2 linked regions of the Danio rerio genome follow. The protein of the gene in region 1 purifies or fractionates together with the protein of each later gene. This does not show direct contact. Links are inferred from orthologs where the notes say so. Each region holds a gene or a part of one and is shown in the gene's direction. Other genes may lie near its edges.

The links.
Region 2: the proteins of rfc1 (region 1) and rfc2 fractionate together in Homo sapiens (co-fractionation; 5 studies listed by BioGRID and IntAct, with this or other methods). This does not show direct contact. The link is inferred for Danio rerio from reciprocal best matches to the Homo sapiens genes RFC1 and RFC2.

What each region holds. Positions count from the first base shown.
Region 1 is NC_133176.1:24,837,296-24,849,181, reverse strand, and holds the start of rfc1 (replication factor C subunit 1), read left to right. Parts: upstream 1-5,589; 5' UTR 5,590-5,683; coding exon of another isoform or gene 5,684-5,686; 5' UTR 5,687-6,385; coding exon 6,386-6,388; intron 6,389-6,474; coding exon 6,475-6,588; intron 6,589-6,678; coding exon 6,679-6,745; intron 6,746-8,173; coding exon 8,174-8,275; intron 8,276-8,380; coding exon 8,381-8,685; intron 8,686-11,886. Other genes in the region: rpl9 (large ribosomal subunit protein uL6), read left to right, coding at 131-176, 261-376, 2,369-2,464, 2,555-2,687, 2,798-2,878, 4,269-4,378. UniProt on the Homo sapiens protein: Subunit of the replication factor C (RFC) complex which acts during elongation of primed DNA templates by DNA polymerases delta and epsilon, and is necessary for ATP-dependent loading of proliferating cell nuclear antigen (PCNA) onto primed DNA.
Region 2 is NC_133196.1:26,653,108-26,664,931, reverse strand, and holds rfc2 (replication factor C subunit 2), read left to right. Parts: upstream 1-4,057; 5' UTR 4,058-4,120; coding exon 4,121-4,230; intron 4,231-4,360; coding exon 4,361-4,430; intron 4,431-4,514; coding exon 4,515-4,556; intron 4,557-4,643; coding exon 4,644-4,750; intron 4,751-6,634; coding exon 6,635-6,736; intron 6,737-6,840; coding exon 6,841-6,941; intron 6,942-8,271; coding exon 8,272-8,429; intron 8,430-8,595; coding exon 8,596-8,661; intron 8,662-9,467; coding exon 9,468-9,548; intron 9,549-9,634; coding exon 9,635-9,748; intron 9,749-10,871; coding exon 10,872-10,982; 3' UTR 10,983-11,337; downstream 11,338-11,824. Other genes in the region: syncollin, read right to left, coding at 824-1,228.

The sequences.
Region 1 (11,886 bases):
TTAAAATTCAATTCAAGGCTAAAAATTGTGCTATTGAGGCGACTCGAGAAGTTTGTCTTGGCTAACGTAGTAGCACGTAGTATCTGCTCGAATCATTTAAGGGTTTCTAACGTTGCTCTATCGTTTCAGAATGAAGACCATTCTCAGTAACCAGACAGTGGACATCCCTGACAATGGTACGTCAAATATCATACTTAACGTTTGAAACTATTTACACGTTTGTGTCTAAAGCAACATCAATTTCGTTTCTTTGCTTGCAGTCACGGTGTCCCTCAAGGGCCGCACAGTTACCGTGAAGGGACCCCGTGGTGTTCTCCGCCGGGAGTTCAACCACATTAACCTGGAACTCAGTCTGTTGGGCAAGAAACAGAAAAAGGTTTGTAGCTTAGTTTTGATATATGGGCCTGAAACTGCATTGTGTATCATTCTTGCTGGAGTTGTTAAAATGCAACAATGCATTTATTAATGACTTATAAAGCCTTCATGTACGTTAAACATCTGAGCTGGTCCAGTCAAATTCATTCCAAATAAAATGTCTATTGAATTATTATACATAAAATGTCTATCTACTTTGCATAATGCAACTAAACTAAGTACAAAACCTTTTTGAGTGCAATTTGACATTTCTCAGTGTTAATGTCTTTTATATTTTGGATGTTTTGCAAGTTCAATTTCAAGAATATGAAATTAAGTTTAAACATTTCCTCCCACTCTGCCTGCAAGCTTAATAAGGTCGATGTAGTGCTTTTTCCACGAACTTCTGTACCTGGTGCTTTGTTTTACTGCCACTTTAGGTAATCTTCCAAACCAGTTGTAACATTAGCAAAATGTAGTGTTCGTATACACACTGCTGATCACTGATGGTTCTGAGAAAATTGGCACTTCTAATGTTATTGGATTTGTGACAAGAGACTTAAAAGCCACTATAATGAAATGGTCAGCAGCGGCCAATGCTGTATTGTTGGGTGGCATAACTAAATAGTTTTTATCCACTGCAAAAAGTAGACACCTGAAATGGCAGCATTGGGGTCAGTAGAAAAGTTCCAGAGATTTCTCTTGTTTGTAGCTTAGGAGCTAAATGGGATGACTTGGAATGAAAACATTAAGCAGTAGAGAGGGCACAGCTATAGCTATGATCCCACCTCTTTAAGTGCTACTAAATGGCAGTGGAAGTCGAGCCTAGCGAAACCAAGCTGTACTGTATCACTCAGTGGAAAAGTAGCATAATGTGCGTAAAATATTGTACAAATATTGTAGTTGCTTTCCACAGCCGCTTGGCATAGGTTTGCTCTTTCAGTAGTTTGTGCTATAATTAACTCTATGTAAAAGTGGTGTAAAATGTACCAACACTTGTTCAAAATTAGCGAGTAATGCTTTGTGGCTGTTTAGTAGGGTAAATTCACAGCTAGTATTTCTTCCCATACAGATAAACCTCCAGTTAATGGACTTTTCAATTTTGTAGGATTCCTTTTACAACATTTATGTTACAATGTAATTAAAATATAATCAATTAACTAGACTTATGCATTTATTTTTTTCATGTAAAACAAATGAAATGCCATTTACACGCACATGCTGTCAGGATCAGCAGACGACTGCAGAAACTCCATTGAAAATACTGGGGGGAAATCATTTTTTATATTTTAAAGACATGATGTGGTAAAACATCATTTGATGCAGTGCCTCTTGCACGTCCTGAGACCTACTTTTTATCGTATAGCAAATCAGGCAGTGGAGATTGTTGTTTTTTTAAGAAAACAGACTTTGCGCAGATTTTGTCACTGCATACAGTTCACCGAAATCAATTGACCCAGGATGCTGAAAATAAAAAGGCCATTTGCATATACCCTGTCATGCATGTTAGTACTTGTTGTAAATAGAGGCCATCATATTATGCTGTTTCAGACACAAATCTGATCAATTCTGCATTGAAATGTTTGATTTTTGACCTCAGTGGGTTCTAGCTAGTTACACGTCACTGTTGCATATTCACCATGTGTGGTGTGAATAATGTTTTATAACACAGATGAAATGAACAGAAAATGCGTGATGTGTCTTGTGCTTTTGACTATCTTAGAAATAGCCTTTAGTAGGGTTTCCACACTTTGTGCTAGTAAAATACTTTTGAGTTTCACATAAGGTAGCTCCACAGTAATCTCACTGCAGTTGATCTAGCTGCCGTCTGTGAAGTGATTTAATGATGGTGTCTCTGGGGTGTTCAAATGAGTTGACAGGTTGAAATATGACTTAAAGCAGTATCAGATGTGATTTCGAAGAAATAAAAGTCCTAATTTCAGGTTGTTTGGAAGGGAGCATAAGTTTGTTATATCAGCTAATTTTTATTTTTACATTATTTTTTTCATTTCAGCTGCGTGTGGATAAGTGGTGGGGTAACCGAAAGGAGTTGGCCACCGTCCGCACCATCTGCAGTCATGTCCAGAACATGATCAAGGGTGTCACCCTGGTAAGGAGTGTAATGTGTTGGTGCTCTAATTTTTTCCCAATCATATTAAATAAATAAGGACTGCCATAAAATGCATCTTTTGTTTCCCAGGGTTTCAGGTACAAAATGCGATCTGTATATGCCCATTTTCCCATTAATGTGGTCATCCAAGAGTCTGGCTCTCTGGTGGAGATCAGAAACTTCTTGGGAGAGAAGTACATCCGCCGTGTCCGCATGAGGCAAGGTGAGTCTGCATGTTGTCTGAATTAGCCTAATGTTTTAGCATAATTTGTGTAGTCCTGCTCTGTATGAAATTTGACTTCATAAAACCGATGTTTACTTTTTGTTGTGTAGGAGTTGCATGTGCAGTGTCTGCCGCTCAAAAAGACGAGTTGGTTCTGGAGGGTAATGATATTGAGCTGGTGTCAAACTCAGGTGAGCATCTATTTACGATGTGGTCTGTCAATATATGACAAAAACCTGAAATATTCACTGCTTTATGAATTGAAATGGGATGGTGAGAGTAGAATTTCCCTGTTATTCTAGTTCTAAAGGCCTATATAAATTTTTATATATTTTATACATTTATTATGATTTTTTTGACCAGCTTTATCTTTATACGGTCCCAATTCCAAATTCAGTTAGATACTATATTGATTTGTTATACTTAAATGTTACTTAAAATAATAATTTAGCAGACATCTTTGAATATAAATGCTTTCTGGCTGAAACCCTTTCGCTGTTGCTGTGATGAAATGAAAGTGGTTGTGCCAAACAAAGGGTTTCTCCTAGTTATCTTTTTGTTACTGTTTTGTTTAATTCCAATATTAGATCAGATTTTGTGCTTTTTCCTAAATTCCAAAAGTGGCTTATCCAGCATTTTATACATTAAAAAGTAAAGTAAAAACTAGTTTGGATAAACAATCTAAACCATTTTTTTTATTTTAAATGTTTAATAATTACATTTTACATGGCTCTTCTTTTTTACTGGATTGTGCAGATGTGTAACTCTAAACCTAGACTGTTCCCCTTCATACAGTATGAATCCCTTTGTTTTATTTGCTCTTACCTGCAGGTCCTGATGTGGTGTTTAATCTTCTGTGAACGTTTATAGCCTCCTTTTTCCCTCTCCTGACATCCTTAACCCTTGATTACATAACATGAGTGATAGAAAAGACTGTGTTTGTGACTCTTTGTATGCAAGATGTGTGTGAGAGGAAGTGTGGAATTATTGAAGTGTGTGCATGCCTCACCTCCCTAGCATTTCTTGTTTCAGCGGCCCTCATCCAGCAGGCAACCACAGTGAAAAATAAGGATATCAGAAAGTTCCTGGACGGTATTTACGTCTCTGAAAAAGGCACTGTAGTGGAGGCAGAGTCATAGAGAACCGAGAGGTTAGAACGAGACCGCCGTACAGGGTGACAGGAGCCACTGCTGCCCATCGCCTTTCATTCGCCTCTTTCCTGCTTCTCGTCTTTGAAGCTGTCCGTTGTGTTGTCTTCCATGCTCTGTTAAATATGTCCAATCTTTTTTTGATAGTGCCAAATTTCAATTCATGCCATTTTCAGACTGAGTTGTCTGTCTCTTACAAGCCAAGTAGCTTTTTTTACACTAACTTTACAGGATTTTGTGTCCCTCTTTTGCATGTTCACATTCATCCAAGCATGACAACACTTAACAAGGCTTTTGAGTCCACAGCTCTAACCACTGGCTTGGTTTGCATGTTACATGTCTATTTTGTAGCACATGGGAGTTTGTGGGTGCACCGCCTTTCTATTTAAAACAGGTCTGTCTCTAATGAGTTGTCTTTTCTTCTGTCCATCAGCTGCTCTGATCCAGCAGGCCACCACTGTGAGGAAGAAGGACATCCGGAAGTTCCTGGATGGGATTTATGTCAGCGAGAAGGGCACAGTGGTGGAACAGCAAGAGGACTAAATTAGTCTCTGTAAAATCTGTCAATAAAGACCAACTCCATTTTTCAATCATATATGTGTGCAGGAGTTTCATTCATGTTGATACTGTCTAGTTTCATGAAAGTCTTTAGTTAATGAGGGTTAATGTGCATGTAGTAGAATATGAGCTACGTGTATTGGAAAAACTTGATCGCATTCTTTTGTATTCACTGTTTTTTGGTCCAGATGTAAAAGTATGTTTTAGTTTCTTGTATATAAAACAATACACAATCTAATGAATTAACATTTTAGAATGAACGCAGCCTGCCCTCGGCTCAGTAGAATTTACAAAGTAAAGCACAAAAAGAAATGATGAAAGCATGTCGTCATTGAATTGCAAATATCCAAAAAACAAAAATAAGGTTCTGTGTAATCAAAAGAATTCTAAGAGCAGTTTTTAAGGATTTGAAAGCTGTGTGTGGTCTGTCCTGAACATGTAAACGTCCACATGGCAGGTGTTTTGCTTTTTGTGTATTTGGCCCTTTTTCAAATCGTACTAAATGATTCACAGAGCATGAAGATCAGTAGTAGGATTTGCTTTCAAAAAGTTAAAGGTAGTCAGAGGTTAATACTTTTACTTTTTCCTAGAATTGCAATTTATTTACCTCAATTATCTGATTTACATCTTCGCATTTCTGCTTTTAATGCATTGTGTTGCCATCTTAACCAGTGTTGATATATATATAATATCGTGGAGATGATTGCATTCAAATAAATTTTCCATAGTATTAAGTTGCCCAATAATCTTAACAAATAGTTGTATAAAGTCTTACATCTGTGCATGGAACATCCGCATAACCCAAATAAAGGCATCACTGCAGGATATTTAGGAAAGCGCAAAAACTTTTAAAAGTTTTTTTAAAGCGTGTATTTGGTCATCTGCTGCGAAAACATTTGAAGAATTACTACAGGTCCTGAAAAAACAAACATTTATATGATAAAGAATTAATTACATATTGTGATTCAGTTTGTAACATTGATCAATGATTTCTCACAATTCACAGTTGGCGGGGTAGTTTCATTTCACCAACTTTAAAATATTTATTTTAAAATTAAATTTTACTATGTGCAGTTTTAAGAAGGAAGGAAGGAAAGATTAGCATGTTCGCTGTCTCTGCATCTGCTGCGTGCGTTTGTCTCCCTCCCTCTCTCTCTCTCGCTCTCCATCTGCGCGTCATCACACTGCGCCTCCCTGTTGATTATCATTGGCGCCAAAGAGGATTGGAGAAGCAATACCTGCCCGCAGCTTGTTCAAAAATAAAGAAAATATTTAGACATATGATTAGCAATGGTGAGTCGCTTAATTAATGCACTGTCTGTAGAAGTAAAGACACAATCAGAGACGAGGTCGGTGTAGCTGATCAAGCTAAAATAAAAGCAGCTCGAACTTGCAGCCTTTAACGTTACTTGTTAATTAGCAGATTAACTTAGGCTACAAAAATAATAAATCATACATAGGCTATTTATGAATTTTGGAGTCCGTGTTTGCGTCGTTTGTTTTTAAGCCTTGGTTGTTTACGCCATGGTTGAGAAACATAAAAAGTGTGAATAACTTAATGATCAAGATCAACTGTCTTTGTCAACAGCACACAGTCAATATGAGCTTCAGTTTTTCATATATAAGTTAACTACAGGTGTTTGTGCTTTACCACCTGCTTCCTGTTTGTTATTGTCGACTTTGAAATGTAAACAGTCAACAACAAATTCATCCATGCGGTTACTATGCTACTTGCTCTGCTCTGCACGTTTTGTAGCTTATGTAATTTTAAAGTAAAAAATAAAATAAAATAAAGAATAAACTGTGTGTTTATATAGTAAAGCCCGAAATTATTCATACCTCTGGCAAATTCTGACTTAGCAAGTTTTTCAAGGGACCTTAAGACGATGCACATCGAGAGACATCATTCTGTAAACAAATGTTTCTCACCTCTTATTTACATTTGAAGAAAACTGCACTAGTGTATGAATAATTTTGGGCTTGCCTGTGTGTATGGTATGTATGTATATGTATGTTTGTTTGTTTGTTTGTTTGTGTGTACACATGTTCGCAAGTCTCTTATTCAGCAATGCTCATTTCAGGACATCCGGAGGTTTTTTACGTCCACCAAGCCTGTGGCCCAGAAAGCTTCAAATGGAAGCACAAGCACAAGTACTGATGAAGAGCAGAAGAAGAAACAAAAATCAAGACCTAAGGTAAAATGACATGTGAACAACATTCATTTGCATGCTGATGTTGTGTGCATCGTGCCGTGTCATAGAGTCTCTCTTTCTTTCTTTCTTTAGGTCAAAAGCTCCACATCTGATGAGAAACCCAGCGGGAAAAGAAAGAAAAGAGTTATAGTTGATTCAGGTTCATATTCAGAGTTGATTAAACATTGATAATCAGGCTTGTTAAGATATGGATTCTGTTGTGTACATACAATAAATTAGTTCAGACAGAAGAAGAGTAGAATAGAATAAAATGGGGCTTTTAAAATAGGGTCCATCAAGAGACCATAAAGATGCTCTGTAAAAATGTTTTGATAAAGTAAAGATAAATAATATTTAAAAAGTTAAACCTGAAATTTTTATTTAGATTAGAGTTCCATTTAAAACAACTTTTTATAAGGTTTTAATGATTGAAGAATATGACTTAAAGGGCCACGAAACCCCCCTCTTTCGGTTTGAGTCTACCTCAGAATAAATAAAAAATGCTTCATAATGGGTGTGGAGCGCCGTGAGAAGAGGGAGGAGTGGGCGTGGCCGTCAGAGCAGGGGGAGAAAGAGGGAAGCGAACAACTTTTGTCAGTTGGCTCACAAAATGATACACAAACTGTGAGGAGACGCGTGATTTTATAGGTTGCAAAGTTAAAATGCAAAGTAATAAGCAGTAATTTAATGCCGTGCTACATTTGTTATTCGTAATTTCATATACACATAACCACAATTTGTTATATCATTATAAAGATAATAATTGTTTATATAAACACTATAATTGAGGAGGACTTCTCTCCTGAATCCCCGGGTCTGAATGCAGACATGGAGCAGTGCAGCAGGTCTCTTGCCCTATCTTTTTCAACCATTAACCCTGCCGATAATCTGGAGAATTTTAAAAATAAGCGAACACAGCAGCATGGTTATAGGGGATGTATCTGAATGGTAATGAACTCAACTGATAAAAGACAAAGTCTACCATTCTCCAATTTTTGTACAGCTCTCCCAACTAAAATTCTTGCTGCAAACCAACAGCTTTGCTGTATTGGCCCTAACAGCATTGCAGTGAAAAACAAGCAACAACAACAAGCAACAAACCAATAAACCTGCTTTCCGTACGCGGACTTGATCTCACCCACTCATTGGATCTCACAGTTTGGCAGGTCTATCTAGCCTTCGGAAAACATGTGCTCTCATGAATAATTAATAAGCAGGGTCTTTTCACAGGATCAGAAAGCTCTGCTATGAATAATAATAATAATGAAAAACTGACGCATCATCACTCCACTAGCATATTCGCGCTACATCACCGATTTTGATCCCGCCCAAAAAGTAATTTTAAACCCGGAAGATGAAATTAGTTGACAAAAGCTCAAAATTATCCAGGTTTTTCCACAATTAAAGTTGACAAGTGCTAACATTGTCTTAACTGATGTTCAAAACACACAAATCTGTTAAAATTTCCAAAAAGTTCGCAAGTATCTTGAACCTTTATGGTCCTGTGCATTAAGTCATCCTATTTGGCATCTAAAAATAAAAACCTGCCTGAGACATTCAGATGTTCTCCTCTCTCATCTTATATTAGACTCTGAAGAAGAGAAGAAGGTGAAGACCAAAAAGAGCACTAAAGAGACTTCTACTATCCCCACAGAGAAGAAACACCCAGTAACTTATGTGTCTGATTCTGGTGAGGAAGTCATCAAATAAATTTCATCCTGCAATATCAGTTGGTTTTCAGCATTATATTATACCTCCGCATAATAATTTTCCCTCTCTCTGTATATTTGTTCAGATTCGGATGGAACATTTGAGACTCTGAAAAAGCCCAAACCTAAAGAGAATGGAACGGCTAAAGGCAAGAAGGAATCAGATTCAGGAAAAGCAAAACAAGTGAAAGTCTCCTCCAGCAAATCCCCAGTCAAATCCCCCAGCACGGTGAAGGGAGGGGTGAAGAGTTCTCAACCCACCATTTCCCCTAAGGTGGCACCAACCCCACCAAAACAGATGCCCACATCAGTAATGGCTTTTTTTGGGAGTTCAAGTGTTCAGAGGTCGGAGAAGAAAATGGTGGCCAGTAGCAGCACTAAGAGGAAGGCAGTGAGTACAGAGAATGAAAATTGTTTGTGTTTGCTTGCTTAAAATTGGGGCTGGGACAACAAATCAATGCATTGCAAATCGAGAAATGATTCTGCATCAATTCTTTGTCTTTCTGATTGCGTTTTGATTCTCTCTTAAATCAATTCTGAGCTTAGTATTTACTGCCAGATTAGTGCTTTTTTTAACAAACAGTCATACTTTACCAGTCCTTAGGGCTGGTACACACTGGTACATTCACATGTATGTGACGGGTAGTAAGCGGAAGGGCTAAGGTGCAGAATTAAAACTGGCCCTAAGTTTATGGAGAGTGTGGATACGAAGGCCTGACATCAGTAGCAAACAGCCAACCAGCAGGATTTGAAACACATTGTCTTTGGTGGGTGTGTCAAAAATGTCAGCATAGCAGCAACATGTATGTAAACAATGTGCACAGCTCACAAATGAGTTCAAGTAAAGTTGCAGTAAAGTCACTGCAGCTATGTACACAAAACAATTGGAGGTATTTTAGTTTTTTAGTAGGAGTTCTATAGTAGCAATATAGCATATCAACACGGTGTAGCTTTTTTTATTTTATATAGTAAGTTTATATACCAAATTTCATAAACTAATTATTTTGGTATGTAAATATTTTTGGTATTTGGCTATGTAATTTTTACTGATGGGGCAACAAAGGCATAGTTTGATGACTGCGACTGAGTGTGGAATGACAGGAGTCTTCATTACATCCTATGGGACTGCTGATTTAGACTCTGATATAGAAAACCCACCAGTGTGAAAGCACCAACAAATACGTAAATGTCACGTTTGCTTTGAAAATACCTCATTTTTGATACTGTGATTCACTTTTGCAGTCAATGTGATTCACTCACATATTAAAAGATTCAAAATCCTGAATTTAAAGAGATTCAACTCTTTATCTACCGATTCTAAAGCTTATCTATATTACATTTTATGCATATACACTTACCAGCCACGTTTTTAGATACACCTTACTAGTACCGGGTTGGACCCCTTTTACCTTCAGAACTGCTTTTGTCTTTCAAGGCATAGATTCAATAAGGTACTGGAAATATTCCTCTGAGATTTTGCTCCATATTGACATGGTAGCATCACATAGTTGCTGCAGATTTGCCAGCTGCTCATTCATGATGCGAATCTCCCGTTCCACCACATCTCAAAGGTGCTCTATTGGATTGAGATCTGATCACTGTGGAGCCATTTAAGTACAGTTAACTTATTGTTATATTTAAGAAACCAGTCTGAGATTCGTGCTTAATGACATGGTGCATTATTCTGCTGGAAGTAGCCATCAGAAGATGGGTACACTGTGGTCATAAAGGCATGGACATGGTCAGCAACAATACTCAGGTAGGCTGTGGTGTTGACACGATGCTCTATTAGTACCAATGGGCCCAAAGTGTGCCAAGAAAATAACCCCCCACATTGATACATGGCAGGATGGATCCATGGTTTCATGTTGTTGACACCAAATTCTGACCCTACCATCTGAATGTCACAGCAGAAATCGAGACTCATCAGACCAGGCAACGTTTCTCCAATCTTCTTCTTAATTTGGGGTGCCTGTGCTAATTGTAGCCTCAGTTTCCTGTTCTTAGCTGACAGGAGTGGCAACCAGTGTGGTCTTCTGCAGCTGTTGCCCATTCCCCTCAAGGTTCGATGTGTTTGCATTCAGAGATGCTCTTCTGCATACCTCGATTTTAACAGCAATGATTATTTGGCCATTCTCTGGTCATTCTCCTCCAACCTGGCACCAACAACCATTCAAAGTTCAAAGTCACTTAAATCACCTTTCTTCCCTATTCTGATGGTTGTTTGCAGCAGATCGTCTTGACCATGTCTACATGTATAAATCAAGTGTGCCGCAAGCCTACGTTTGAGTGAAGGTTTCGGCCGTTAGATCGCCCCCTGGGGGCTGGCTGCAGTACAAGTCATAAAGCCCGCCTCCTCCGTGTTAATGAAGGAGACTTGAGCCCAAATAAAAAAAAATATTACACTTGCAATAAAATGTCCCGAAAGATAGTTCTGGTCGATTAAGGCACTGGTTATTGTGCTGAAATAGGTGCAGATCTTCATTTTTGTAAACAGTTTGTTTTTAGCAGTAATTTAATGCTGGGCGTGTCATCGTGATTGACAGCTGTGATTGACAGTTTCTCAAAGCGCGGCGTCTGAGCTTCGGCAGGAGACTGAAGTAGACTGAAATGTTATTATTCGATTTCTGTGTTATTTTACCATGACAACATGAGTTCAGCAGTAAACTATAGTTTCTGACATACATGATCCTGGTGGAACACTGTTTATTCGCTAAGTTCAGGGCTTTTTTCGGGCTTTATTAGTTTGCTGATACACGCCTAGCCACCCAGATAGCAAAACACAGTTCCGGCTAGATTCTCGCCTGCCGGAGACTTATCTCTTAGAGCTCAGACTGACTAACGTTACCTCTGCTGGACCTACTCCGGATGCCTGGACTCACTACCCAATTCCAGCCGAGTCAATCGAGCCAGATGCGGCGGCCGAGCGAGCAGGCGCTGCCGCATGCGAGCCGGAATCAGCCCGCGACGCCGCGAGTAAGTTATGCGCTGCGGCCCGGAGCTGGCGCGATTGAATATATAAAACCCTCATATTTGTTAACGTTATTACATCCATTTGTGTTGATATGACAGCAAACGCATGCTGAGAAGTTCGGGGGGCGTAGTTGATTTTACATAAAGCGTTTGATTGGAAGCTCGACTCTGCTCATTTTCGCGGCTCCTCCTCTGGCTCCATCAGACAGTCCTTCTGCGCATGTCTGGCTCCAATTTCAGCAGTGTTTTGCGACAGTTTGTACCCGTCAAGCAGGCGTTTTGCCCTCAAGGCGTTCAATGGGAAAAAGGGCTGTCGCGTCGTCCATATTTTTTACAGTCATTGGTATAAATGCATTGAGTTGCTGCCATGTGATTGCCTGATTAGAAATTTGCATTAATGAGTAGTTGACAGGTGTACCTAATAAAGTAGTCGGTAAATGTATATTTATGCTGTTTTGAACTAAAACCTTAACCTATATTGGATTAGGGATATAATAATTAGACATATGTAAAATAATTATAATAAATATTTTTTTCTTTGCTAAATGCCACATGTTTATTTTTTTAAATGGTTCACCGTCAGAGCAACATTTAATTTGGAGCAAGAGAAACTAGGACA
Region 2 (11,824 bases), on another chromosome or scaffold:
AAAGCCTTTTAAGAAAATTAGCTTGTTTCACTAACTGTCATTCCTACTTATTAGTGTGCACAGTAGAAGTCCACTATATGGAGAAATTTTATATATTTTTTATTTTGGAAAAGAACTAATACAATCAAGACAACAGCAATGTGTAAATACTTGAGAAGAATTTAAACTGAAAATCTGGGTTCTATTTACAATAAGGTCCCATTTGCTAATGCACTGTGATCTAACAAGGAATAACAATAAATAACTGCATTAACTAACATTAACAAACACTGAACGATTCATTTATCACAGTATTTATTCATCTTTTTAACATTAGTTTATGAAAATGCAGTCGTTCATTGTTTTTCCCTGTTAACTCACATTGTATTAACTAATGTTAACAAACACAACAGGATTTTAATAATGCATAAGTAAATATTGATAATTCAATATACTGTACTAAATTTTTCATCTTTAGATCATGTTAGCAAAATATATTAACTAACATGAACTAATTGAACCTTACTGTAAAATGTGACCAGAATCTAAACACTGTTCTGTTGTCTCATTAATGTCATGGTATTATTGTATTTTTAGTTATTCCAGTCTGCAGATCTCCAGGCTTTATGATACACAGTGACAGAGGAAAACTCTAATAAGTAATGGACACATCATGTTTAATAAACCAGCAGGGTCATGTCAGTCTGGCACATACCTAAAACCAACTGAAATGGGAAACCTCTGGTCTACCAACAGATGCTGTGAAGGCTGGGAATTCAAACAGCTTTGACCATCTGATGGGCCGACTATCTTATATAACTTTGATGAAAGGGTTAGACAGTCTTTATTCTGTCAAAAAGGCTCTAGTCTGATTATGTGCCAAGTCATTCCAGTTTCCGAACAGGCCTCTCTTCACTTCTTTCAGGTGGTAGACAACACCAGCAAGAAACTTCCTTTTGTTTCCCTTCTTCTTGGATTTGGACCATACTGTCAGTGAGCATCCGCGTCTCACCACCAAAGAGGATACATGGTTCTCCCAGGTCTTTGGCATGATGGGGGTGTCTTCATCAGGATACACATTCAGAAAACTGCCAGTGCAGCTCTCGTCATAGTAGTAGCTGCTGTGCTCAAACATCTGGGCACAGAGTTTGCTGCCATGGTCGTCTTTCAGTGTGGCATGATCAGGACATGCTGCATTGAGGCCCTCGAGGCACAGAGCCACCAGGAGAAGAGCAATCAGACCCCTCATGTTTTCAGTGTGGTGCATAAAATGACATCTCTCAGCCTTACTTATATAGATAAAGATCTACATATAGATGACGTATGTGAGAAACGTCAGGTTGTCCAGCAGCTTTCTGAAGGTCATTTTTCTGTTAAATAAGCTACTCCACACACTGTTAAAAACTGCAAATTATGTATTTATTATACTAAAATATTAGTTAAGTGCTAAGTATGTACAAATAACACAACAGGATTTTAATAATGCATAAGTAAATATTGATAATTCAATATACTGTACTAAATTTTTCATCTTTAGATCATGTTAGCAAAATATATTAACTAACATGAACTAATTGAACCTTACTGTAAAATGTGACCAGAATCTAAACACTGTTCTGTTGTCTCATTAATGTCATGGTATTATTGTATTTTTAGTTATTCCAGTCTGCAGATCTCCAGGCTTTATGATACACAGTGACAGAGGAAAACTCTAATAAGTAATGGACACATCATGTTTAATAAACCAGCAGGGTCATGTCAGTCTGGCACATACCTAAAACCAACTGAAATGGGAAACCTCTGGTCTACCAACAGATGCTGTGAAGGCTGGGAATTCAAACAGCTTTGACCATCTGATGGGCCGACTATCTTATATAACTTTGATGAAAGGGTTAGACAGTCTTTATTCTGTCAAAAAGGCTCTAGTCTGATTATGTGCCAAGTTGCTGTTTTTGCTAAGTTTATGCTGTTTTACTGCTTACAGGGTAATCTAGAAATTTAGAAATAAAAATTAGCTTGGAGTTATTACATGTTTTTAGTGTGTTTGTATGACTAACGTCTGATATCTTGACTTACACAATTTTATATTTAGTGTTCAATAACTATATATAGCAAATTTCTTTCTTGGGTTAAGAATTTATCAACCTGGGTCAGATGCAGTCATCAGACATGTACAGAGGTTGTTTTTCACATTGTTCTGTCATGTATGTGACATGTATGTGATGATAAAAATGTATCATAAGTAAGTAAAGAAAAGTTGGCAGATTTTATTCTTTTTTTTTGACATTTCATCACTTTGGATTTATAATGTTCTCTCTGAGAGCTCTTCACATTTTTCTATTCATTCATTCTTTCATTTTCTTGTCGGCTTAATATCTTTATTAATCCGGGGTCGCCACAGTGGAATGAACCGCGAACTTATACAGCAAGTTTTTATGCAGCAGATGCCCTTCCAGCCGCAACCCATCTCTGGGAAAATGTTTCTATTTTGTTACAACCTATTTACATTTTGTGATTTTGAGCGTGTGTGACTGTGTGTGTACATTTTTATTTACTAAACTTAATCTTATAAAACTTAAAATAAATATAATTTTGCCAAATAAAAGTTGCTAATGCTTCTCAAAAGCACTTAAAATGATAATTAAATTTAAAAAAAGCTATTTTGTGTAAAATACTTTTCAAGACGTTTGTGTAACATTTCTTGTAGAAAGATTGGTTCTTACTATAACATTATATTTAAGTAAATGCTGTTGATGCTTATTGTTTAATAAATGAAAATATCCCTTGCACACCACAGAAAACATCAGCCATGCAGGCAGTGCAATTTTTGGATGTACTGAACTCCACATCCTTTATTTATGCAGATCTTGTTGCGATTGGTATCTTTAGCACTTGTTTTTGGGTCGGACATTGTGTTTTCAGAGCTGCTAGTATCTAAGCTATTATCTTCATGTTTTCAGTCTCTTTAGGGATTATTGTCCTAGATTTGAATGCAAAGAGATAATCTGATCCATTATAAATCTTCATGTTGGACAACGTGCTCAGAAAGTTAGGAGATTCAACAGACTTCACTTTAATTCAGCAAGCCAGTTTTTTTTTTTTTTTTTACAGCGTAAAACCATTACAATTATGTGTGTGTATTTATAATATCTACTCATATTGTGTTAAATCTATTTTAGCTTTGTGCAGCAATGTGACAGTTTGGTCTAAAATATATTCAGAAAAGTAATTCTCTTAAAATAGACAGTATAAAACAATATGTGTGTGTTTGTAGTTTACAAACAATGTAACAAAAACATTTGTAACAAAAATATTCATAAAAGATATATATCATTTAAAATACATTTAAAATAGGCACGCTATTATTCTTGATTCTTCCCTAGCAAAATACGATCCTTGTTCATACACGATCCTTGTTAGATCCGTTATACCATATACAGTAGCTATATAAACATATACATTTACATTATATCACAATACATGCCAGGGAGCAAGAGAGAAATGTATCTTTTAAACATTTACAGTTTTTACAGCTTTCTTAATGGTCGATTCAGAAATTAAAGACATAAAACGATTTAGATCTTCAAGAAAAATCTGAAGAAAATAAAAACAGTTTACGCTTACAACGATTACATTTGTGTATAAAATATTTAGCCAAAAATATAATAGGATTAAATAAATACATCTGGAAGTTCATTCTGATGATTATATTCTAAAATAACGTTTCATATTTCAATAACATCGGTGATTATACCACAATACCCAATTCATGTTTACAAAATTCTTTTGGTAGATTCACAATTACAAAAAAGGTGAAACAGAACAGTTTGGTAACCGCAAAAGGAACCGTTTACATCAAAATCTTAAGAAATAAACCTTTGTAAAAATAAAAAGAAAGCTTTGTAGGATAGCACCTATGTATCATTTTATACTACACTTCATGAATTTTATTGTACTTACATTAGTAATCTCTGAGGTAAAAAGACTATACTCTTCCAGTTAATATTACCTATATTTTCCTTTCTAGTTTACAGTAACGTTAGTTGTGATGAAAAAGTCGCGCGCCCGTTGCCGGAAGTGGCGTCAATTCTGTTCTGTTTTGTTCCTGTCGTGGCGGGAATACGCGCTGCTGACGGGCAACATGGATGTTGAAATGAAAGAGACAGACAGTGAACAAACTCAAGCTGACGGACCGCCTAAAAAGGACGAAACTGCACCAAAACCCACAACGACTGCATATGAACTACCATGGTACGCTTTTGTGTGTGTTTTGTAGTATTTGGACGGGATTCATGTGGCTAAAGTTAGCACAGCAGCTGCAGCGGAATTGCTAAGCTCATGTCGAACATTAATTCTGGTGTAAATGCTATATTACTTGCAGGGTTGAAAAGTACAGACCTCTGAAGTTAAATGAAATAGTTGGAAATGAGGAAACTGTTAGCAGACTGGAGGTCAGTACTGTAACTTAAGTTACTGTGGTGAAAGTTTTGTGGAGGTGCTGACATGTTTCTTCATTTGTGTCGTTTTTGTCGCAGGTGTTTGCAAGAGAAGGAAATGTGCCCAACATCATCATTGCTGTAAGTAAACAATGCTGTCAGGTTGCAGTCTGATTGCACAAATGATTTGTCCTTGTGCATGTAAATAACAGTTGCATTTGTTTTCAGGGTCCTCCTGGAACTGGGAAAACCACCAGCATTTTGTGTTTGGCTAGAGCTCTGCTTGGCCCAGCCATGAAAGATGCTGTTCTTGAGCTGAATGCCTCAAATGACCGGTGAGAAACACACATAAACACCGAAGATAAAGAGATTGCACAAGTAATAGCACATACAAATTTTCCGTTTGAACCTATTATTAGAGGTTTGGTTCAGTGACTCACAATTCATAGAGGAGCCGGTTTAACATTTAAGCACAAATAATAAAGCGGAAACCTGAAGTAATTGATGCATTCTTCTCCAGAGTATCAAAGCTCCTTTTTGTTTCTTGTTGTACATATTGCAGTAGTTTAAATTGAAATGAAAATGAAAATGCTACAATTTTATAATAGGCATGGTAATAATAAATATTTTGTCCTAATCAATTGTTGCTTAACCAAAAGTTTAACAGAGCGTAAGACAGCAGAATGCATTTTGCGTAACTTTATTGACTTTACTGACTTTATAGACAAACTAAATTTGTCTATATTCACATTTACTTTTAACACGTTCAGTTCAGCCAACAGTTAGATTTTACTAATGTACATTTTTGTATACAAATTTCATTATGCATACGAGGAAAATCAATTAATGAGACTATTTGAGTCTATTATTATCAAGATGATCTTATTAATGATATTATTTACACCACCATCATAACATGTAAGCCATGAAGAGGTGTTTATACAACACGATACGGGTAGTATAAAACTGATTATAATCAAGTGATCCTAGAATATTTACAAAATAAAGCTTTAGTAAAAATAGAGCACTTGCGGACATGTTTTAACGTCCAAATCAGCCTCAGAAAAAATATGCATGCGCGTTACTCTCAACTGCACACTGAGAAAAAAACGAAAGTAGCCTGAATATATATTGCAGTACTTTTAATGTCCAGTACGTTGGACGTCAAAAATGCTGCAAATGGCCCGCAGGCCGGGAGTTTAAGACCCCTGTTCTACAAGCATACATAACTTCAATAAAGAAAAAAAAAAAAAACAGCATTGTATTGTTTACCGGGGAGTCAAACTCTATTCAGGTATGCAGTAATTGAGTAATCAAATGTAGAATGATACTGAATATTCTTCCTTTTATAAACAGTAATCAATAAAATTAATCTTTGTTAATTTGTCAAAGTTACAAACAGTACAGTTTCTTATTTTAAACCCTCACACAGTCACAGGGCTTAAAAAACACTTGCGAAATGATCAATTATAATCCAGACTCAACATAGACTATAGCCATGATGTGACTATTGCGATATTGATGCCGACACAATATATTGTGCAGCCCTAGATGAAGTGCAAGATCTCCCTCATCCTTCATGGACCACAACAATCTTGAAATGTTCATAGTCCAGAAATAAAACCCAAAACATTTCATGTGATGCCAGTAGTTCAACTGTATTCATACAAAGCCCAAACTCTTTTGTGCACCAAAAAAAAAAAAACTGTATAAAGCACTTTGTTGCCTATGTGTTCTGTGTCAAGTTTTGGTGCTTGTTTACTACAGGCAATACAAATGACTGTGTTGCACTGCTGATTCTAATTGCAATGCAGATGAGTGAGCTTATAGATTTCCTCTAAGATGAATGAAATGTGAATGGCAACTTTTCTGATCATAATTTTAGTCGTTTGGTACAAAACAGTGAAGTATGATTACCCCATTCTAGTCCATTTTCTCTCAACATGTTCTATAATTATCAAATTTGGTAAATAGGTAGTCTTTTGTGGCTATTTACACTATGAAAGCAATCTGCTCTAATGTGTTTTCGACTACCACTGTAAATAATCAAAAGTTTATTTAGTATTGAGCACAAGTTGACAAAAACACATTTTAAAAGCTGATGTAAACGACACTAAAATGTGAATCGATTTCACATATAATTTCTGTTCCTCAAAGGGGTCTTCTTTACCATTGCTGTTATAATGTCTGTTAATACATTTTTTTATTAATTATTTCAGTGGAATTGACGTTGTGAGAAACAAAATTAAGATGTTTGCCCAGCAAAAGGTCACACTTCCTAAAGGTCGTCACAAGATCATCATCTTGGATGAGGCTGACAGGTTAGACAGATTATTTTCTAACAATATTTCTATTATAACTGTTTATCTCAGTATTGCATGTATTACAAGTGCTTAATGTAAGTGTGTATTTATATTTCTAACAGTATGACAGATGGAGCTCAGCAAGCTCTCAGAAGAACAATGGAGATCTACTCCAAAACCACACGCTTTGCCCTGGCATGTAATGCATCAGATAAGATCATAGGTGAGAAACGTGACACAATACAGCTAAATTAGAAGTATGAACGTGTGTGAATTACTGGACCAGTCCCACTGCACTCCATCACAAACGTCGTTTTAAACATTTTGAAATGTCTAAAATGGTCTCATAATAATAAGTTGGTTAAAATGCCTCTCAAACTAACACATAAACTTGATTGTTGTTCTGCTTCTGAAAGCAAGATAACATAAATACCAGCGTTTGTTGTCTGGGCACTGAGGCGTTTATTATAAGGTGGAAAAGAACATGGCAGTTTTTCTAGATGCAAAAGCGTTGATTCAAAAAAAAAATCATATTGACCAGCTTCCCAGCATGTGATTTTTGTTGTATTAAAAACATGAGAAGAGGACTGCAATAATTCATTTTTGTCCATGATCTTTGATTCTCCATACTCCAGATGGTAAACAACACCCTGTTGCACACAAAATACTTAAAGAATTTCTTAGATTGACCAATTCAAGGCTTCTAAAATGTCTGAAGTTCATCAGATTATAACATGAAATGTAGCATATACAAAAAAAAGGGTTAATGTTTTTATTTTTCAAAATCGAAATATCTTTATATGATAGTATATACTGTTTCTTTAGAAGGTACAGTTTAAGATATTTCCATATTTTAATATTTTAGAGGAAATTTATTTATAAAATCTTTCATAAAAACAAGTAGATTTTTGTAAAGTGTGTCTTGTACAATCTGAGATGTCATTATATATGCCTATAAAAACTTGACTTTTTTTCTCTTGGTCTCTAAATTTATATTTACATTACACTGTGTTCATTGGGATAAACCCCTTGAGATGTGCCATTTTATTTTCAAGGGGGTCCCACAATTAATCACATAATAACATCAAAAGACAAAACATAACATAAAAAACAAGATAAAAGAAAGAAAGAAAAAAAAAGGGGGGGGGGTAGTATACATACATACATTTGTATATATACAAATTACAAAAATAATATACAAATCAGTGAATCCAATCACCACATAAATAATAACATCCTCAGGAAAAACAAGTACAATCCAAAGTAAAATATGAAAACAAGGTTTGCTTAAAGACCCTAAATGATGAAATGGATCGAATGTTACCAGGTAAATTGTTCCAATCTGTTGGACCCTTAAAATATTGTTGTAAATAATAAGGATTCTCAAAATGAATACATTTAAATATAAATTGAAGCCAATGAATATGTAAGTGAATATATATATATATATATATATATATATGAAATATGAAATTTACCCTTAAAAAACTTGCAGTAACCCTGAATAAAATACAGATAGCAGATTTTCATTTTGTCCTGTTATTCTGTCACAGAGCCCATCCAGTCGCGCTGTGCTGTGCTGCGATACAGCAAACTGCGAGACGAGCAGATCATGATGCGTCTGACGGAGGTGGTAGAGAAGGAAAACCTGCACGTCACCAACGACGGCCTGGAGGCCATCATCTTCACCGCTCAAGGAGACATGAGACAGGTCAGTCCAGTCAACAGAAAACACTCATAAAATAAATTCACAATATTTAGGTCAACTAAACACTAATGCGTTTGTTGTTAATTAAAAAAATAATAAAATAAAATGCAATTTTAACCACAAATGTAATATTCTTTAGCTTCATATTGTTAATGTTATTCTCCTCTAGGCTCTGAATAACCTACAGTCCACCAACTCTGGATTTGGATATATCAACAGTGAAAACGTGTTCAAGGTATTTTGGGCTGTTAGATTATTTTTCTCTAAAATCTTGCTTGCACTGTGGGATTTGGTTAGCCATGATTTGGTCGCCTGAGACAAATTTGGGAAATGTGTTTTTTTAATATTTGCACTTGAAATGAGACAGAGCAAAAATATTAGTACAAAATGTTTTTTTTTTTTTTTTGCATTGTAAATATTAAATTTCTGTACCTGAATGCTGTTTAGACTTCCCAAAAAACTTAAAAAAAAAAAAGCTATTCAAACCATCTTATGAAACTGTACTCCTATCGCAATATTTATTTTTAAGAAGAATAAAATATTGCAATATTAGATTTTTTCTTGCAGCCCTAATCTGTGCTCCTTGATCTTTGGTTTGATGTGTTCACCATCAGCCGTTTAATGACCACAGTATTCAAATTTTTCCTCTGATGAAGTTCTGGCAGTGTCAGAAAGTTTCAGACTCTTTCCTGCAGGGTGACTTCAGCTACAATGAGCATTAAACCAAAAACCAATAAAAGTGCTGAATATGATTAAGCAATCTGCACGACAAATGCTTGTAAATGTCCAGATTTTGTTTCTGGTTTTATCAATAAGCAACGATGTGAGCTAAATGACCACAACTGATTGTTTGCTGGGATAGTAAATGAGTCACAGATGAACAACTTCAAACTCCGGATGACATGGGTATTATTTTCGCACAGTCTGACAAGCTACAATCATATTATTAATAAGATTATTACAAATTGCGCCATGTGAGCCAGGCTTAACACACACACAAATATGTGTTAGTGAGGTGTAATGGTGTTGTTGTGTGTGCAGGTGTGTGACGAGCCACATCCTCTGCTGGTAAAAAGCATGCTAGAACATTGTGTTAATGCCAACATCGATGAAGCCTACAAGGTACCATTAAACATTCACTTTTGGAAATCATTCAACAATTATAAACACCGGATGAGAGAGATGATTCTCTCTGTGTGTTTCTGCAGATTATCGAGCAGCTTTGGTCTCTAGGATATTCACCAGAGGACATCATCGGAAACATCTTTAGAGTTTGCAAGACCTTTCAGATGGCAGAATATCTGAAGCTGGAATATATTAAGGTAACTTTCATTTGCTTTAACCATTGGGTCAATTTTAAAAAGTTGCACAGAGTAGCAAGTCAGAAATGATTATAAGTTAATTATATATTAATGTAATATTTAGTGATTTGACACAAATTTGTTTCATCAAATGACATAAATAACAAAAATTATTAAATGAAGATTTAAGCCTTCACACACTACCACTGATTTCATAATAAAAATCAAGAACTTAAAAAAAAAAAAAGTTTTTGTTCATTTAACACTCATTCACCCCTGAACTGTTTGTGCCCCATGGGTGGCATGTTTAATAATAAGTTAAAATAATAAGTCTTATTTTTATTTCTTTTAAAACTTAATTATATTGACACTGTATGTCATATGCATACACTTCTTGACAAAAATCTTGTCGTCGATCTGTTGCAAGAGCAACAAATAATAACTTGACTTCTAGTTGATCGTTTGGAAAAGTGTCAGCAGGTAGATTTTTCCCATCTGTTGAACTGCATCCCGATCATCACAAATACTGCAGAAGACATAATGGAACCTGCATGGACCCAAGATTCTCACAGAAATCAGTCAAGTTTGATGAAGAAAAAAAATCATGGTTTGGGGTTACATTCAGTATATGGGGTCTGGCGAGAGATCTGCAGAGTGGATGGCAACATTAACAGCCTGAGGTATCAAGACATTTGCGCTGCCCATTATATTACAAACCACAGGAGAAGGCAAATTCTTCAGCAGAACAGCGCTCCTTATCATACTTCAGCCTCCACATCAAAGTTTCTGAAAGCAAAGAAGTTGAAGGTGCTCCAGGATGGGCCAACTCAGTGACCAGATATGAGCATTATTGAGCATGTCTGGGGTAAGATGGAGGAGGCATTGAAGATAAATCCAAAGAATCTTGATGAACTCTGGGAGTCCTGCAAGATTATCTATTATGGATGTCAATGGTTGCTGGCTCCTAACATTCTTTAGATCATCTTCTTTCGTGTTCAATTGAAAACAACAAAACTCAAACGTTTAGAAGCATTTAAGTTATCTCAGGGAATTATATTTGGGTAATATGATGCCAGTGTAAAGAAAGAAATGAAAGCAGCATGTTTATTTTTATCACTGAATCAACGCTGTTTTGCTTGTCCAGGAAATCGGCTACACGCATATGAAAGTGGCAGAAGGAGTGAACTCTCTGCTGCAGATGGCTGGTCTGTTGGGGAGACTCTGCAGAAAGACGGCCACCCCTGAAGCAAGCTAAAATAATATTCATTACTAACTAACCACAACACACGTGACTTTTATACTCTCCAATGTACAATAAAACATTACAAGTTGCAGCAATAAAAATTTACAAATTTGGTTGCTTTTGAATGAGTTTGTTTTTAAAGGTCTTTTTTTTTTTTTTTTTGTGCTATTGCATTTAGATTTTTAGTTTTGCAGTTTTGCCGGATGTTAGAAATAGTCAGAAAAGCAAAGCAAATGGCTGTTTAAACATTTTCAGTTTAGTGCTTGATTTATAGAGCACAATGCATTATATATAAGCAGACACCAAACTAGGCCTCATGTCTTCCTCATCACACCTCAATAAAAAAAAAAAAATCTTTGTGCATGGCAGATTTGTTCATTGACTCTGATTGCAACTTTCCACTCTGAACTGTAGCAGACTTCAAGGTATAGTAGATGCTTTTTATTAAACTTTTTTTAAATTAACAGTAAACACTAATAAACATCAGGTAAACACAAACACAAAATGTGACATGTAAAAAGTGAAAATATTCCTGTGATGATGAAGCAAGAATATTTCCTATGGATTGTTCACGTAGTCTGATTCTTCTGTACAAAAAAGGAAACAAAATGAGTGTAGACCTTATCAATTAATAGTGCATATGTTTTCAACTAAAACAAAAAAAGTATACAAGTATTTTACCTTCCACCGATTGATTTGCCAAAAAGTCTGAGTTTTCATAATCGTAGCTATCTGTTGACAATTTCAAACACAAAAAATTTGTTTTGTAAAATGCATATGCACACATACAGTATGTTGTGTACAATTATTAGCCTCCTGTATATATTTATTTATAATTTGTATTTAATTGAAAC